Caenorhabditis elegans: one gene and its partner. The protein of the gene in region 1 interacts with the protein of each later gene in a biochemical or structural test. Each region holds a gene or a part of one and is shown on either strand. Other genes may lie near its edges.

The links. Proteins that work in one complex are often made in the same cells at the same time.
Region 2: the proteins of tni-3 (region 1) and tnt-4 interact in far-western blotting, tested with the Caenorhabditis elegans proteins (one study listed by BioGRID).

What each region holds. Positions count from the first base shown.
Region 1 is NC_003283.11:16,833,100-16,836,674, reverse strand, and holds tni-3 (Troponin I 3), read left to right. Parts: upstream 1-1,546; 5' UTR 1,547-1,565; coding exon 1,566-1,622; intron 1,623-1,666; coding exon 1,667-1,795; intron 1,796-1,843; coding exon 1,844-2,182; intron 2,183-2,631; coding exon 2,632-2,889; 3' UTR 2,890-3,037; downstream 3,038-3,575. Other genes in the region: phy-3 (Fe2OG dioxygenase domain-containing protein), read right to left, coding at 3,152-3,359. UniProt on the Caenorhabditis elegans protein: Troponin I is the inhibitory subunit of troponin, the thin filament regulatory complex which confers calcium-sensitivity to muscle actomyosin ATPase activity.
Region 2 is NC_003283.11:1,988,930-1,994,909, reverse strand, and holds tnt-4 (Troponin T, skeletal muscle), read left to right. Parts: upstream 1-1,996; 5' UTR 1,997-2,023; coding exon 2,024-2,040; intron 2,041-2,088; coding exon 2,089-2,274; intron 2,275-3,082; coding exon 3,083-3,704; intron 3,705-4,657; coding exon 4,658-4,753; intron 4,754-4,817; coding exon 4,818-4,898; intron 4,899-5,107; coding exon 5,108-5,233; 3' UTR 5,234-5,435; downstream 5,436-5,980.

The sequences.
Region 1 (3,575 bases):
CTAACTTTTTTCAAAAAATGTTCAAAAAACCCAAAATTGACCTCCAGACTTCCCATTTTTCTCCCAATCATCAATCTTTTGCCACCTCAAAATTTGCGACAATTGATGTGGTGGCAACAACTGTTCTGATATCTCTCTTTTTTGCAAATTGATCCTCATTTTGATTGGCACCGGTGGTCTGATAAAAGGGATTCCCCCGGGGAATTCCTGCTAATTTCCGAATTCCCCTAGCACATTTTCTACCACAGAAAAAGAAAAGTAAGTAGTATTCCCAAAGCTTTCCCGTGAGAGCTCCGAGAGCTCTAGGCTCACACACACACATGTCGTTTCTATCTTGCGGCAAAAAGTGATGATGGGTTTTGAATTACCGCCGTTTTCACTAGTGCTTCTTGCCCGCCTCCGCCATTCTTTTTCGCCCTGTTTTATTACACTGTTCGCTTCTTCGTTTTGTTTCGTATGCAATATGTGCATCAGCAGTAGGAGCAAAAGTTATAGACGGGAGATAGAGAGAGAGTACAAGATGGAGGCGGAGAGCAGGGGAAAACAGGGAGGGAGGGGGTTCCGCAGGAAAAACATGTTTTAAACTTTGGTTTTAGTTTTCAGTCTTCTCCTCCTGATTCACTCATTCTGCCATTCGTTGTGATCAGATTACGTCATGCTTTTTGATTTTCCAGGTCTTACTTTTTTACCGTATATCTTGTCTAGCCTGATTAATATGCCATCGGCCGGGTTTTTTGCGGCTGCCATTATGAATTGTGGTTTTGTGAATATTTCGTAAAATTCAGTCTGCTGCAGCAAGCTTTAATAGAATTTTGGAAAACCCTGTGAGATGTCGGATGCATTGGAAACTGTTGGTCTTGTGAAAACCAATTCAATGTCGGCTGCAGATTTGTTTTTGTTTTTTACACTTTTTGCAAAACTTTCTTGCAGCCAACATGTCCTGGGTTAAACTAAATTGTATCAATGTCGGCGACAACATTTTACTTTTTAAAAACTATCGAAGCTGCTTGCAGCTGATTTCTCACGGGTTCCCAAAGTTCCGCTAAACCCAGTTATGTGTCGGCTGCTATAACGTATCATCTAAATATAAATTAATTTCCTTGCACCCGACATTTCCCGGGTTCACAATCTATTACGTCTTAAAATTTTGGCTGGAAAAAATTACAAAAACCTCTGTTTTATGGAAACTTGCGGCCGACATCTGCCGGGTTCAACAAAATGTCTCGATGCTTTAAATGTACAAAATACACCCGGTTAAGTGTCAGCTGCAGATATCTAAGCCTATACTGAAAATTAGTTTGCAGCCGACATTTCCCGGGTTTGCCGCCGCCGCCACCGGTCGGCTGCGTCGGCCTCTTTAGGTTACCGTAGTATCTTTCAGAACATTTTATGTTCTTTGTTCTAATTCTCAAATCCCATTTCTCTACTAACTTCTTCCATATGCTATTATTTTTCCTTCCTGCTCCGCACACATACTAATCAAGATTTATTGCTCAATTTCTCTTTCCCGCCCCGCTTGCCACTTCTCACAGATCAACTTTTCCAGGTCATTTTTCCCCGCCAAAATGCTGATTGAAGACGAGAACATTCGCTACGGCGGAGCTCAGGCTGATGTTGAGGACGTAAGAAGTTGCTCAATTTTCAGATTACTTAAAATTAATTTCAGGATGCCGCCCGCAAGGCTCAAGAGCGTGAGCTCAAGAAAGCCGAAGTCCGTAAGCGTATGGAGGAGGCAGCAAAGAAGGGATCCAAGAAGAAGGGTTTCTTGACTCCAGAAAGAAAGAAGAAGCTTAGAGTGAGTAAAGCCTTGGCTGTAACTTTTTAGATATCAGAATAATTCCAGAAACTTCTCATGATGAAAGCCGCCGAGGACTTGAAGCAACAGCAAATGCTCAAGGAGCAAGAACGTCAGAAGACCCTTCAGCAGCGTACTATCCCACTTCCAGACGTCGACTCGATCAATGATCAGGGACAACTCTTGAAGATCTATGAGGATATGTTCGCCAGAGTTTGTGCTCTTGAGGAGGAGAAGTTCGATATCAACTTCGGAGTATCCCAGACTGAGGCAGAGATCAATCAGTTGACTATTCAAGTTAATGACTTGAGAGGAAAGTTTGTGAAGCCAACATTGAAGAAGGTGTCCAAGTACGACAACAAGTTCAAGTCATCCGGAGAAGTTAAGGTGAGAGATTGGAAATAATGAATTTTGTAGAAACTTTTCGAAGCCTCGTTAGGTGTCGGCTGCTGCAAGACAATTTTTGAAATTTTTTGAACAGACCAGTTAGGTGTCGGCTGCAAACTATAAATGTGGGCATCTAACTATTGCGTTTGCAAAACAGATGCAGCCGACATCTTTGGGGATCACCCAAAGCTCGCTAATTCCCGTGAACTGTCGGTTGCAACAACTTTTCGTGCCAAATGCAGAAAACACCAAAAATGCGTTAAAATTGTGTAAAAAAATGTTAAAATGCTCAACTCAAACACGGCAAACCACTATTTAATTTCGGAAAGAAAAATTTGACTGAAAATTTCCATTGAAAAATATTCCGATATCTTTTTAAAAACATTTTAGTTTTTTTAAAGTTCTCAAATTGTTCCAATTGATTTCCACCAAATAACAATAAATTTCAGGAAAAATCAAACTTCCGCAACAACCTGAAAGTGGTCAAAAAGGAGACGGACCTCGACGAAATCATGGCAAAGAAGAAGGGAACCGCCGACGGAAAACCAGAATGGTCCAAGAAAGAGAAGAAGGAAGAAGAGGCTGCACCAGTGGAACTAGCTGCTCCAGTCGAGCCAGAGGCCGAGCCAGAACCAGAAGCCGCCGAGCCAGCAGCTGAAGAGCCAGAAGCCGAAGAGGAAGAGGAAGAAGAGGAGGAAGAGGAATAAGAAGTGGTGATCTTTTTGTAGATTTTTATGTGCTTGAGCTTATTGATTTTTTATTGTCAAAAAAAAAATTAAATATGATAATCGCATTTTTCATTGCTACTTATGAAAGTTAATGGAGAGAAATTGAAATAAATCTTTTGAAAACTGATAAACCCCCAAATTTTGCTAAGTAGCCTTGCTGCAAGCGCGCTCTGCGGACAAAAAAACGGTATATACCAAATATAAAATTATCAACGGAGCGCGATTACACACAGACACTCACCATTTTTCTGCCATTTCGTGTCCTTTGTCTCATCATCACAAAGCTCCAACTGATCCGTGCTCCACCATTTTTCACCCAAAAAATTCGTGAATTGCTCGTTGAAATCGTCCTGGGCGAGCAGCCAAATATGTCTGCATTGGCTGTAAAGCCACGTGGCACACAGTAGAGAAACAAGACCCAGAATTTGACGGAAAGTGACAGAAATCATGATGGTTTTCTAAAAATAAATATGATTAAGTTGCGGAAAAAGCGGAAAGTGGGAAAGTTTATCGAAACAAAAAAAAACAACAGAAAAGAAAACATACCGGCGACGGCAGAAAATGCAACTTCAGTTTTATCCCGATTTCCACGTACTGAGCACATTGTGCAAAATGAACTTTTGGAGAATAAATGGAGCAAAGGGTCGAAAAGGTTCAATGAACTT
Region 2 (5,980 bases), about 15 Mb from region 1:
CTCATTAAAATGACCAAAAATGCTTGCAAAAATGATTTTTTTTAACTTTTAGTGGCGGTAACTTCAGAAACGTGAATGATACCAAAAAATAATCAATTGTAAAATTATTTTGCATATCAAGAGCTACATTTTATCAGTTTACTACTTTTTTCTATCTTCACCCGCTGCTAAGTTACAGTCAGTTGAAACAAACCAAGTCCAACTTTTAATAAACACCCTTTTTCCAGATTTTTGCCGGTAACTCCAAAACCAGTTGTTTTCCAAGATTTTTGTCAACAGATAAAACAATCTCCTTTTAATTTTACACATTTTCGTAGTTGAAAGTTTTGTTATATCTTAAGTGTTGGCAAAGATATGAGACAATTAAGCGAGCTCGTCCAATTTTATAAAAATTTTCAAAAATCATCGTGAAAAAATTTCGTTAAAAAAATTTTCAGAGGAAAAGGCCTAAACATTTTTGAAAATGAATAAGTTACTTTTAACTAAAACTTTGCATATACTTTCATTTATCAGCTTTACTTTAGTGGAGAGAAAAATAGAACTTTGGAGTATTTTTCCATTTTTAAAAAACTACGCATATTTTTTTCTTTGATGAGTAATATTCTTGCATAAACCTTATGTATAACAAAATTTTCAACTACAAAAATGTGAAAAATAAAAATTTAATTATTTCAGCTCTTGACAAAAGTTTTGTCAAACAAGTAGTTTTAGAGTTACAGGCGAAAATCTGGAAAAAGGGTGTTTATTGAAACTTGGACTTAGCTTGTTTCAACTGACTGTAACTTAGCAGCGGGCACAGATAGGAAATAGTGGTAAACTGATAAAATGTAGTAATTGATGTGCTTATTAATGTTGTAATTGATTACTTTTTTGTATCTTGCACGTTCCGGAAGTTAGCGCCCTTCAAACTTTAAAAAGTCATTTTTGCAAGCATTTTTGGCCATTTTAAGGAGTGTAGCGCCACCAAAAAGATACGCATGGGGCGTCAACTGCAGATTTTTATTCAACTGACTGTCTAATACATCAGGGCATATAAAGTTTTTCATTTCGCCGAAAAATAAAAAAAAATCGAAAAAAAAATTTTTTTTTCGTCATCACAGTTCTGAGATTTAAAATATCTGGGAGTAGTCCGATATGGCTGATATTGTTGGGCTTATCATTACTAACAGTCTTCTATATAACCACAAAAAAATATCTAAGAAAAAATCAAAGATGAGAAAAAGCGACAAAACTTATTGACTGACCTAATAGGTTAATTTATGGGTTTTCTTGAGAGTTATGAGCTAAGACTTGCATGGCATATGTTTTTCGCTGTTTTGAATCATTTACAGATATTTTTTCCACTTTTCAGAAGAAAAAATTTTTTTTTGAAATTTTTGAAATTTTTTTAAAAAGGTGGTCTAGCCACTTTCAAAACGTCATAACTTTGCTGAACCTGGACCGGGGCAGCTAAATTTCTTGGAGAGATCATCATTTTCACTCTTTTATCGAAAAATTACTATGGCATGTCAAAGTCCGGGGTTCAGTTTTTCGACTTCCCTTGTAAGCATTGAATTTAGAGGGGAATCCTTAAAATTTCTGATCCAAATCCATGAGTTAGCCATTTCAGATCCTTGACTAACCATCACTTCCTGACTTTTTTTCCTGCTCACTTACCACCAGTTCCCCTGTCTCCACCAGAGCACATCACCGATCGCGACATGATTGTACACACAGGTAGCTCTCAAGAGAGCTTACCCGCGATTTGCCAGGATACTCTCCCAAATCTCTCTCATGTTTCCATGATCTTTTTGCGCAGTTTGCGGGATGAGAAAAGAAAGCTAACATACACTGTACGCCCACCGAAACTCGAGATCCGCCTCCCCACTACCACTTGTTGGAATTCATTGGGGTGGGCAAACTTTGAAGACACTATGTAACACTTGCTCTTCTTCCCCTTGCTTCCAATTTATGTTTCATTTCCTAACTTTTGATTTTTTACATTTTTTCAGGGGTTTTTTTTACAACCAATTCACCAATCAACATGTCTGACGAGGAATAGTGAGTTGAAATTTAAAAAATGTTATATTTCAAGTTTTAAAATTCCAGCTCCGAGTACGAGGATGAGGAGGTAGAAGAGGAGGAAGTCGAGGAGGTCGAGGAGGCTGAAGCCGAAGAGGAGGAGGACACCGAGCAGCAAGAGGAAGAAAGGTTCAAGCGAGCTTCTGTCGACACCACGGCAACCGGTGGTCCAGCAACACCGGCTGCTTCTTCGCACGCTCCTGTCTCTTTCGAGTACTTCTTTTTTTCAATTCTTTCCTATCTTATAGTAAAAACTACTAGGCTTTTCTTATCCAAGACCGCCGTGATCTCTCTAATCAAATCACTAGTACTGTTGAGTGGAAAAACTTTTGAAAAGCCTGCGTCTCCGCGCTCGGCCACACTATTTTCTTCGCACTCAAGCACATACACTTACGGCATCACTGTTTGCACTTTTTTCTTTCTTTTCACAATTCCATTATCCATGCAATATTGGAGTGGGTTAGAGGGTCAGATATTTGGAAATAGTTTACTTTTAAATGAGCAACCGACGAATCGAAGTATCCGATGAGAACACATCTGTATTTTTGTATAAAGTAGGAGCAGCCGACATATTACGGGACCAAAATATCATTAAAATCATGTGAAGTCGGGCATGCACTTTTGTTGACCTTCGAGATGTCGGCTGCAAAGTTTTACTGACTGTCATTATGAAGTATGAGCTGCCGACATTATACGGGATCCGGCAATTTGTAGAAGGCAGCTGGCAAACCTCGGGTTTCTCAATTGTCGGCTGCACACTTTCAATGGCTAGTGTAGGAATAAGAGCAGCCGACATATAACGGAAATCGAGATCTCAATGAGAGAGAGATCTCAATATCCGGAACATTTTATTTTTTCAAAGCCTCATTAAAAAACAATTTGCCCTGAAAAATGTCGGTTGCTATCCTAAATTGAAAAAAATTAATTAATGCCAAATATCTAACCCTATAAAATCACTGAGACACTACTAAATCATCACATTCTGAAAAAATAAATTACCCTAACAATATGCATTTTTCAGCGGAGAAGCTCTAAATGAAGGTGAGAAGGCTATGCTCGCCGCCAAGAGACGTCACGAGAACGACGAACAGGCCAAGTTGGAAGACTACGAGAAGGCTCGTCGCTCCGAACGTGAAAAGGAAGAGGAAGAGTTGGAGAAGCTGAAGGAGAAGCAAGCTCAGCGTAAGCTCGCCAGAGAGCAAGAAGAGCGTGAAGCTGCCGAGCGCAAGCGTCTCGACGAGGAACGTAGACAGAAGGAGGAGCAGGAGCGTCGTGCTCGTGCCGAAGAGGAGAAGAAGAGGAAGGAAGAGGAGAAGCTGAAGAAGGCTCAGATGATGGGTGGAGGATTCCCAGGACAACAGGGTGGAAGAAACTTTGTCATCCAGAAGAAGGAAGAGTCCGCCGGAGTTGGAGATCGTTTCGGAAACATCGTGCAGGCCAAACAAGAGATGGGAATGACCAAAGAACAACAGGAAGAGGCTAAGTCGGTCGCCATGGCCGGTATTCGTAAGTCGATCGCCGAGGCTTCCACCATTCTTCCAAATGATATGAAGGCCAAGATCAAGGAGCTTCATCAAAGAATCTGCAAGTTGGAGGCTCAGAAGTACGATTTGGAGAAGAGACACGAGAGACAGGAGTACGATGTAAGTAGTCTTAGTCTTAGGCTTCGGCTTATGTTTAGGCTTGGCATAGTCTAGGCTTAGGAATAGGGTTAGGATTAGGCATATGCTTGGGCTTAGGCTTGGCGTAAGTGGCGAGCGGTAGCTAGGCTTATTAGGCTTAGGCTTAGGCTATGACTTAGGCCAAAACTTACTGATTGGCTTACTAGGGAACCATCAGAAGGTGCCCATCGGACTTGCATATGAAACCTATGCCATTCGATAGCCTATGTCTTAAAACGGTTACTCGTGAATTTTTAGCTGCGAATCTCCAGAACCAAGTTCACGGCGAGCTCTCAAAGATCCTAAAATAGCACTATAATGAAGCATTGAATGGCCAATATTCCTAATTTACTTTGGTAGCTCATATCTCCGTGGATAATTTTTTTAGAGAAAAGTCATCAACTGATAAGTTGTTGATCTTTTAGTAAAGAACAAATTTGTAGTTGAAAGTTTTCCACCAAAAAAATTCTGTTTCAGATAGAAGCGCGTGAAGTGCGGCAACTGTTGTTACTATTTTATTGCTGCTATTATAATGTTTTTATCTGATACAAAAAATTGTTGGTAAAAACTTTCAACTACAAACTTGTTCTTTACAAAAAGATCAACAACTTATCAGTTGATGACTTTTCTGTAAAAAATTTATCCGCCGAGATATGAGCTACTAAAGATAATTAAGAAAATTTCTTCTTTAGATCGTTACAGTGCTTCGTTACAGTGCTATTTTAGGATCTTTGAGAGCTCGCCGTGAGCTTGGTTCTGGAGATTCGCAGCTAAAAATTCACGAGTAACCGTTTTAAGACATGGGCTATCGAATGGCATAGGTCTTATATGTAAGTCCGATGGGCACCTTCTGATGGTTCCCTAGATAGGCTGCAGCATAGGCAGATTCTTTAACAATTTAACCACTGAAAATACGGAAAGTTTGCAAATTTCAGCTGAAAGAATTGAATGAGCGTTCCCGTCAAGTGGCCCGTGCCAACAACGCCAAGAACGGACAAGTCAGCGGAGACGACACCGGAGGAAGACATCCAGTATGTTCATTAGGATTTTTGGCATTAATAGACAAATTATAATAACTAACAAAATTATTTTCAGCCAAAGGTCCAAATCTCTTCCAAATACGACAGACAAATCGACAGAAGAAACTTCAAGGAGCGCCGTCAGGTTTATGAGAACGTAAGTTAAAACATTTGTTTGAAAATTGAATTGGGGGCTGGTTTTTATCTGAGAATTTACAAAACCCTGATTTTGGAATACCAAAAAAATAGAAAAATTAGAAAATTTAAAATTGGTTAGGTATGTTATATTCCTAATTTTTTGTATTTTCAGCTTACCTAGTTTAATTCAAAATTATTCGATTTGTTACCATGTTTTTTAATTTCCAGAAAATCGCATTCCCATGCTTCCCAGGAGTTGCCCCACCACCGGCATTGTACGAGAAGGTGATCAAGAAAATGGACTACGAGATTCAGCAAGAGCTTGAAGCCGCCGAGGAAGAGGAAGACTATTAAGTCGATAATACCAATAAAAAAACCAAAAAAAAAAATCATTTATCCAAGTAGTTTTTATCTTTTTTTTTTTGCAAATACGTTTAATTGTTGTTCAATTTTTCTCTGAAACTTTCAGAAAAATCCAAAAAAAAACCCTCTCACTTTATGTTCCCATCAAACTTTTCCCAATGTCTAAAGTTAAAAATAAAGTTGAAGCGGAAATATTCTGTTATCATTTCAGTTACTGACCTCAATTAATAAAAGCGGAAAGGCGGGCGAGAACGTGGCACTAGAATGTTATCACTGAAATTGAAATAGTTCTTGTTCTGATGATGATGTTTGTGGCTATTTCGGGTGGCTTCCTGAGGAAAAGATCAAATAAGACCGAAATTATATAATTCGACACTTACAAAAAAACCCATTTTATGAGATTATTTTTTTCTGAAAAATTATATTTTTTTCAATGTTTAAATTTTTGAGAAAATCAATTTATTAATTCACCGCTTCGGAATGTTTGGAATTTTTAGGGGTGTCTTCCCGCTTATTAGCCTAGACCTACCTACCTACATGTCCGGCCATCACCTACTCGTTGCCTGCCAAAGCTTTCTGTATTTACTTTATTAGTAAAGCCTCCAATCTTAATTTTCAAACTCCTTCTTTAATGTAAGTAATATATTTTTTGAAAAATAGTTTCACATAATGATATGTAGAGGAAATATGACAATATTGTATTGCTATTCTATTTCTAAAATTTAGAAAATGTATCAT